Arabidopsis thaliana: one gene and its partner. The protein of the gene in region 1 interacts with the protein of each later gene in a pairwise test. Each region holds a gene or a part of one and is shown on either strand. Other genes may lie near its edges.

The links.
Region 2: the proteins of IDD2 (region 1) and DAZ1 interact in a two-hybrid assay, tested with the Arabidopsis thaliana proteins (one large-scale study listed by BioGRID).

What each region holds. Positions count from the first base shown.
Region 1 is NC_003074.8:18,838,534-18,843,555, forward strand, and holds IDD2 (indeterminate(ID)-domain 2), read left to right. Parts: upstream 1-1,877; 5' UTR 1,878-2,411; coding exon 2,412-2,541; intron 2,542-2,618; coding exon 2,619-3,015; intron 3,016-3,098; coding exon 3,099-3,298; intron 3,299-3,664; coding exon 3,665-4,296; 3' UTR 4,297-4,520; downstream 4,521-5,022. UniProt on the Arabidopsis thaliana protein: Transcription factor that acts as a positive regulator of gibberellin (GA) action, homeostasis and signaling. GA converts the GAF1 complex from transcriptional activator to repressor via the degradation of DELLA proteins.
Region 2 is NC_003071.7:7,475,936-7,479,731, reverse strand, and holds DAZ1 (C2H2-like zinc finger protein), read left to right. Parts: upstream 1-2,048; 5' UTR 2,049-2,084; coding exon 2,085-2,897; 3' UTR 2,898-3,070; downstream 3,071-3,796. Other genes in the region: AT2G17190 (ubiquitin family protein), read left to right, coding at 19-221, 306-419, 522-577, 967-995, 1,140-1,229, 1,312-1,460; AT2G17170 (Protein kinase superfamily protein), read right to left, coding at 3,294-3,374, 3,458-3,649, 3,746-3,796. UniProt on the Arabidopsis thaliana protein: Mediates the regulation of male germ cell division by DUO1.

The DNA of each region.
Region 1 (5,022 bases):
ATGATTGATTTAGCGTTAGTTTTTTTTAAATCGTCGTCGTATTCATCGGTTTGGCATAGACACTATATGATTCTCGAACCAATGAACTCGTTATGTAATGTATATTTGTCTCGATTATGATTATCTAATTTTTGTTCAAATCAACAAAGTACTAGTCTATTGTTAGAAGCGTTAGTTACGTTAGTTGATATCATAGCCATGTTAAGCTAGTATCATCCTCGACAAAAGTAATATTATCATCGATGTTCCCGTTACATTAGACTCTTAATACATGTTAATTATGAATATCCATATATTAATATGATTGTATGCTTCAAGAAAATAAAAAGATCATGATTTGATAATTGATACTACACTTAAAGTAATTATAGTTTTTTTTATTTTTTTTTATTTTCACATTTCCAAACATATGTGATCGAATACGAATGGCGATGTTTAAGATGCTAAATCAACAAGATCCTTACACAAAATCGAAGCAATTTTTGAGGAGTATGTAAACAGTGACCGACTTGAATACCTTCAGTGCCACGTTTTTCCTCACTTGGACAAACTTGTTCTTCATTTTTATTTGTTTGGACCAAGATAACTCGTTATTCATTACGAGGGCTTTCCACGGAAGAAAATGCACTACCTACAAAAGAAATGGAATAATATAAACTTGAATGGGCCCTGCTTGGGATATCAAGACTTCGGCCCAGCAATGTCCGTGCATGCAAATATTTTGTTAATCACTTTTTAAAGTAGCATTTGGATTATCGCTTAGTATATTTGCATTCCCATCTATTACTAATACTACAATACTAGGAGCAAAAGTTATTAGTTCTTTAATTTGATTGCTAGATAGTGCTGGAAACTTTATTTCAGGAAATGGAATTTCTAGGCTGGCTAAATAGTGTTCTGGATTCTTGAGGGACCCTGTTACGCCTAAAAATAATGTTGTTTTTTTGAAGGTCATCAAAATAAACATTTTATAAGACAGTAAAAAAAGAAATAAGACAATTATATTTATGTAGTCAAACGCTTGTTTTTGCTGGATATATAATTACATAAAAGTTGCATTTATCCTTTAATCAATTGCCAAAAAGCAAGAAATAATATCAATCCAATCTTATAAACAACTATATTATGAAAAAGATGATAATTATTGTACGCAAGATGTTATACGACACACGTAATTTGTAGATACACAAAAAGGTCAAGGTCAACAAATAACACGATCAATTGCATTAAATGTGTACTAGCATGGTTATCAGAAATTTTTATTGATACCATGGAATCGATAGACGACAAAACCAACCGTAATTTCAAAATTTCCGTAATTGTTTCTCTTCTCTTTTCTTGTTTTATCGACGATTATGGAAATTTTTTTTTTTTAACGGAGATGTTTGGTCCGACAACGTGACGGTAAATCCTCCACTGTCTTCGCTTAAAGACAAACGACAATTAATCTTTTTAACTCCTCGTTTCACTTGCAAAGTTATTTCATCATTTTAGTAGTTTACTCTCATTCTACTAAATTTGTATTTTTATTGTAACATAACGGTCATATCAGTATTTGGTTAGTTGATTATGTGACATGACTATGGATAATAAGACTTGATATGAATTCCCATATATAAGAAATCGTCGATGACATAAAACTACTTTATCTACTAACTTCATAAGGCAAAAATGAGTAGATAATTAGATTATTAGAAAGAGAGAGACAATGAGATTGATATTTTTTATATGGGAGTCCAAAATCAAGATAGATATACTTGAAAACACTCGAACCCCACAAGGATCGACAAAATATTTCTTTTTAAATAGCTCAAAAAAATTATTTAAAAAAATTCAAAATCTTTTTAAAATATCCAAAATGTTGAAAAGTTGTAAATCGATAAAAGAGAAAAATAATAATAATTGTGCCAATAGAGAGAAAGAGAGAGACAGAAGAAGAAAGAAAGGTTCCTTTGTCTCGGAACAACCAAAGAGCCACCACCCAAAAAAAAAAAGGTTCTTAGCTTTTTTTCTTTCTTTCACACGAAATCTCACGAGACGCCTTATTTCTTCTTCTCTGTCTCTTTCCGACGGCGTAACTCTCCGGTGGAATCTCAGCTCTCTTATCAGTAGAAGAAGTTTTGGTCTTTAAATGTAATTTTTTTGGTTTTGCTTTAAATTTCAATCGTTGTTATCAGAAAAAGTAGGTAGCAAAAAAAGAGATTTTTTACGAAAAGCAGATTGACTGGTAGCTGAAACAACGGAGGAGAATTATAGAAACGAGTAAAAAACAAAACCCTAAAGGTTGAAACTTGGTTGACGAAAAAAATGAGCTGATTTTTTTTTCTTCATTTATTTCATTCTTAACTCTTTTTCACATATTTAAGAATCAGTAAGAAACAAAAAAAAACAGAGTGAGACTAAAAAAAAAGATGCCGGTAGATTTAGATAACTCCTCCACAGTTTCCGGTGAAGCAAGTGTTTCAATCTCATCCACCGGAAACCAAAACCCACTTCCAAACTCCACCGGAAAGAAGAAACGTAACCTCCCTGGCATGCCTGGTAAACTTCAAAAATCCAAACTTTATTATAACTCAAAATTTCTCAATTTTTGTTAAAGTTTTGTCCTTTTTATACAGATCCAGAGTCAGAAGTTATAGCTTTATCACCAAAAACATTACTAGCAACAAACAGATTTGTTTGTGAAATCTGTAACAAAGGGTTTCAAAGAGACCAGAATCTTCAACTTCATCGTCGTGGACACAATTTACCATGGAAGCTTCGTCAGAAATCAAACAAAGAAGTGAAGAAAAAAGTCTATGTTTGTCCTGAAGTTAGTTGTGTTCATCACGACCCTTCACGTGCTTTAGGAGATCTAACTGGAATCAAGAAACACTTTTGTCGGAAACATGGTGAGAAGAAGTGGAAATGTGATAAATGTTCTAAGAAATACGCTGTTCAATCTGATTGGAAAGCTCATTCCAAGATTTGTGGTACTAAAGAGTATAAATGTGATTGTGGTACTCTGTTTTCTAGGTAAAGTGTTTGCCTTTTTTGATCATACATAAGAAAAAATTCAAAATTCAACAATCTAAGTTTTGAGTGATTTTTGTTTGCAGGAGGGATAGTTTTATAACGCATAGAGCTTTTTGTGATGCTTTGGCTGAAGAAAATGCGAGAAGTCATCATAGTCAGAGTAAGAAACAGAATCCTGAAATTTTGACCCGGAAAAACCCGGTACCCAACCCGGTTCCTGCTCCGGTGGATACTGAGTCTGCTAAAATCAAATCCTCCTCGACTTTAACAATTAAGCAATCAGGTAAAGAGTCTCTTGTAGTGTTCTAGATTGGGAATTTTTTGGTGTTTTTGGATTCATTTTTGTCGCTATATTTCTTTGTTTTAAGCTGAAAATGAAGATGGCTAAGGTAATCTCTGTTAATGGTCGGTGGTGTTCTTGGAGTTTAGTTAGATGTTTTGTCCGTAGTGTCGTATTATTTTATCTGTTACTTGATTAAGAACATAATTCGTTTGGTAAGTTTAATAGTTGTTCAATGGCTGATTGGTTCTTTATGATAAACAAATCAAAGATATGATTGATTTGCTTTTTGTTTGTTTACAGTTTATTTTTTCAATTCAAAAAGTATCAAACTTTATGTAAACGACTAATGACTCTTATGATCTACAGAATCTCCAAAAACCCCTCCTGAAATCGTTCAAGAAGCTCCAAAACCGACCAGTTTAAATGTTGTTACAAGCAACGGTGTTTTCGCAGGCTTATTCGAATCTTCCTCGGCTTCTCCAAGTATATACACAACATCGTCTTCTTCGAAGAGTCTTTTCGCGTCATCTTCGTCCATTGAACCTATCTCTTTGGGTCTTTCAACAAGTCATGGATCATCCTTTCTTGGGTCAAACCGGTTCCACGCTCAGCCCGCGATGTCAGCAACCGCTTTACTTCAAAAAGCAGCTCAAATGGGAGCAGCTTCTTCAGGAGGTTCATTGCTTCACGGGTTAGGGATAGTTTCATCCACTTCAACTTCTATAGACGCAATAGTCCCTCATGGACTAGGATTAGGACTGCCTTGTGGTGGCGAAAGCAGCTCGGGTTTAAAAGAGCTTATGATGGGGAATTCATCGGTGTTTGGTCCGAAACAAACGACATTAGACTTCCTCGGTTTAGGTAGAGCGGTTGGTAACGGAAATGGTCCAAGTAACGGACTATCTACTCTAGTCGGAGGAGGAACCGGCATCGATATGGCAACAACATTTGGATCAGGAGAGTTTTCAGGGAAAGACATTAGTAGAAGAAAATCATAAGTAGAGTAAATGAATGTGTTTGAGAGGGTTTTAGATGTTCTTGTTCAATAGGTTAGTGTGAGAATTTGAAAACTTCCCTTTGAAAGAAAGGGTTCACTATTTAATATATATGCAATTAGTTAATTATTCTGATTTACCTAATTTCGATTTCTTAAACGCAAAGAAATCTTTAGTGACGAGTGATGATGATTTACTCTTCTTATCTAATAAATTCCTTCACAAATGCAATAAATGGAATTGTTTTGCTTTCGTTTCCTTAATCGGAATAGGTAAAGAGAGTGAGATTTACTTCTTTATATAGAAACTCTTTCCAAATCTTGAATAATAGGGTCCCATTTGTTTTTTTGTTAAAATTTTCGGTGGAATATTGAAATTTTTTACCTTTCGAATTTGACATTTGATTTGATTAGATATTCGATAGACAAAAAGAAGAAAGAGATTCGGACAATAGATTTTTTTGCTGTGCCAATCGTATCGTAGGACCATTATTGATAATCGATATAGTGACGTGTTATTATCACGACAGGACAACACTAAGCCGTTTACAATCTCCTAATACGACCCATTACGTTAATGAAAATAGGCCATCGTTACTTGGGGGCTTAGGCCATAATTTATAAGCCCATTTATCTCAGTTTAGGCCCAAAGTTTCTCAATATATCTAAATATACTAAATCAGCAGTCACTTTTCCAGTAAGTGATGCATTTAGTGATTGACACATCAGC
Region 2 (3,796 bases), on another chromosome or scaffold:
TGTGGGGCTACTTGACAGGCCAGACAACTGCCCCTGGAAGGACAAATGCTGGACTTGGTGGTCTTGGTGGGCTTGGAGGCCTTGGTGGACTCGGTATGCTGGGAGCGGACTCACCTCTTGGTGCGACTCCAGATGCTTCTCAATTGAGCCAAATACTGCAAAACCCCGCTATGTCGCAGATGATGCAAAGCGTACTTTCCAATCCACAGTACATGAATCAGGTAGCGCCTTCAGTAATCTGAATTTTAGACATTGTAGCTATTGTGAGGCTGTCTTTAATATTTTAATATTTCCTTCATTTCCAGCTTATGAGTCTTAACCCACAACTCCGAAGCATGCTAGATATGAATCCTCAGTTGAGGGAAATGATGCAGAACCCTGATTTCCTTCGCCAGTTTAGCTCTCCCGAGATGATGCAGGTTAGTTGGGCCCATGTTGTCTCTCCAGATAATTATTTTTATATCATTCAGTAGTCAAATTTCTCCGACCTAATGTTTTCTATTGTTTTTTGGTCTTTTTAGCAAATGATGTCTCTACAACAATCACTTTTCTCTCAGAATAGGAACACGGCTGGCCAGTAAGTTTGGATACCCTTTTCTGTTTTCTTTAGTTGGAACATTAGTTGAGTAGGTAATGTCCTTTATATATCATAATAGGATTTTGGGTTGATCTGTGTTTAGAAAATAGTGTCACTAGCTAACCAGGTAATTCTCTCGGTGGTGAACTATCTTATATTAAGTAATAAATGGGTTGAATCATTAGTAATGCAGCAACTCTTGTATGTTTTACTGGGCTGATCATTAGTGACCTTTATCAACGGCTGTAAAGTATTTTAGTCCTTGAAATAAACTTGAATAGGAGCATAAAAATTTTCGTTCTTTTTTGGTTCTTTCCTTTAACATTTGATATCAGTGATCTTGATTTCCATCAACCTCTATTCATGTTCCCAATCCATCTTCTTTGTAGGGATCCTACGCAAACTGGTGCTGCGACAGGTACTATATTATCTGTAATTGAAGTATGAAGGCTTCAACTAGTTCACTTAGACAGTGTGCTTTTTTTTGTTCTTTTGCTTTACTTTAATCGTATATTCATTACGTTGCTTATTGAGTAAATCACTACTATGGAAATATTTATAGGGACAGCCAATAACGGAGGACTAGATTTATTGATGAATATGTTTGGCAGCCTTGGTGCTGGCGGCCTAAGTGGCACAAACCAACCCAATGGTTAGATTCACTAGGGGCTATACTTTGATTTCTTATATATCTATTGAGATGGTTCCACTGAAACATGTCTATTTGATTCCAGTTCCTCCTGAAGAGCGATTTGCGACTCAGTTGCAACAGTTGCAAGAAATGGGATTCTACGACAGAGCAGAGAACATAAGGGCTTTGCTTGCAACCAATGGTAACGTTAACGCTGCTGTAGAACGACTCTTGGGGAGTATTGGCCAGTAACATACAGGTTCGTGAACTGATATCACTCCACTCTGGCTTCTCAATTATAGAATAAACAATGTGTTTTCTTTCAGTAATCTAATTTATGGAATTCGTATAACTACATTTATGATAGGATCGCGAACTTGTGGATAGAAAAGCCGCTCATCGATACACTATTTGTTTTCAATGGTCATCTTCTTTCCTCTTTACCCAATCCCCACAACCTTTTTTACATACTTTGGGTCGTCTGTTATCTTTCAGATTCTATTTGAAGTTGTTACCTCGTACATCTGTAGAAGTTGATTTCGAAATGTGGAATGGTTACATTTACGTTTTCTTATCTCCATTTTACTTATTAAATATAGCTGTAGTGACGTTGATAATTTGTGATTGAGCGTTAAGTTTTTCATTCGAATAACAAAGATAAATACAATAATAATTGAAAGAAAAACAAAACTTATGAGGAAAACAAAAAAAGAAATGTAAATCCGACAAAACAGGGAGAAGTAACTGCTAAGAAACCGTCGATGAAAACTAACTTGTTCTTCTTCTACTTAACCAACCATAACTCCCACTCTTCTACTTTTTTTTTTCCTCTCTTTTAGTTTTTCTGTCTTCTCTCTAGTAAGAGACTCAATAATAATGTCGAACACTTCAAACTCCGATCCCAATTCCGATATCCCATTTGCTTCCTCCAATGTAACTCTTCCTAGTTACAATCAAAACCCAAGAAGAAAACGTACTAAACTCACCAACAACGAAGTCGGTTCTTCTTCGTCTTCTCCAAGGCCTAAACCGGTCACGCAACCGGACCCTGATGCTTCACAAATCGCACGACCATGTACTGAATGTGGTAAACAATTCGGGTCACTGAAGGCACTCTTTGGACACATGAGATGTCACCCTGAACGTCAGTGGCGTGGCATCAACCCTCCTTCTAACTTCAAACGTAGGATCAACTCAAACGCTGCGTCATCATCCTCGAGTTGGGATCCATCTGAGGAAGAGCATAACATAGCCTCCTGTTTACTAATGATGGCTAATGGTGATGTCCCAACCCGTTCAAGTGAAGTTGAGGAACGGTTTGAGTGTGATGGTTGTAAGAAAGTGTTTGGGTCACATCAAGCGTTAGGCGGACATAGAGCAACACATAAAGACGTCAAAGGATGTTTCGCCAATAAAAACATAACCGAAGATCCTCCTCCTCCACCTCCTCAAGAGATCGTTGATCAAGATAAGGGCAAGAGTGTGAAGTTGGTCTCGGGGATGAATCATCGATGTAACATCTGTTCTAGAGTGTTCTCCAGTGGTCAAGCGTTAGGAGGTCACATGAGATGTCATTGGGAGAAAGATCAGGAAGAGAACCAAGTCAGGGGCATTGATCTTAATGTTCCTGCGGCGACATCTTCAGACACAACGTTAGGTTGTTCCTTGGATCTTAGGTTAGGACTTTGATATATGATAACTTAAGGTTTTATATATTTATTGGGTATTTGGTTCTTTCTCTTAATTAACAAAAAACTCTCTCTGTATATATGTGTGATACTTTGTATGATGAACGTATAGGATTGTGGTATTGTATTCTATATATAAGTTAATTAGTTTATGAAATGCAAATAGAGTTATTTACTAAATGTCCAATATTCAAGAAATTAGCTTTATGAAGTTTAAAACGTTGAATCTTTTTCCCTATGTAAAAAGTTTATATTGTTTGATCATACATGTATATGTATCATGCATGGATTATGGTGTTTCTTCACAGTGTCAGTACACTAAGTGAGAAAATCAAGATTCTTCTTCCCTAAAAATGTTGCTTCGAGAAGAGTTACTTTGTTGAAGCTATTAGCAGATTCAGGGTGGAAGTTGTTGTTGACTCGAAGATGATGCCACATCGTGCTGCTTTGTTACTTCATGCATTTCAGAAGATGAAATCTACAAGCAAAAAGATTTGGTTTTATAACATGAATGCGAAAAATCTTCAGGGATGAAATTATTGTAACAGTAAGCCTCCTTACTTCTTTTTTAGCCTGCAAGGCTTTAAGTGTTGCAACAAGCTTTTTAGTGATGCCATTCTCTATATAACCCTTCCACTGCAAACATTCAGAGGCGAGTTTTAAAACTATAGTAGCTTCTTCTGTAGAGAACTTTCCCTTCAGATTTGGATCCATGAGCTCAGTGACATCCTTTCCATTGATCATCTCAGGAGCCTAGAAACAGAGGATAAATAACCACTCAGTAAAATGTAACTTGTGTTGCAAGAAACCAAGGATTCCACAAAGTCAAGCTTGAACAGAATTACTTACATGGCTCGGAGAAATTTGCAATCCAGTTAGCAGATTCACAAGGATAGTACC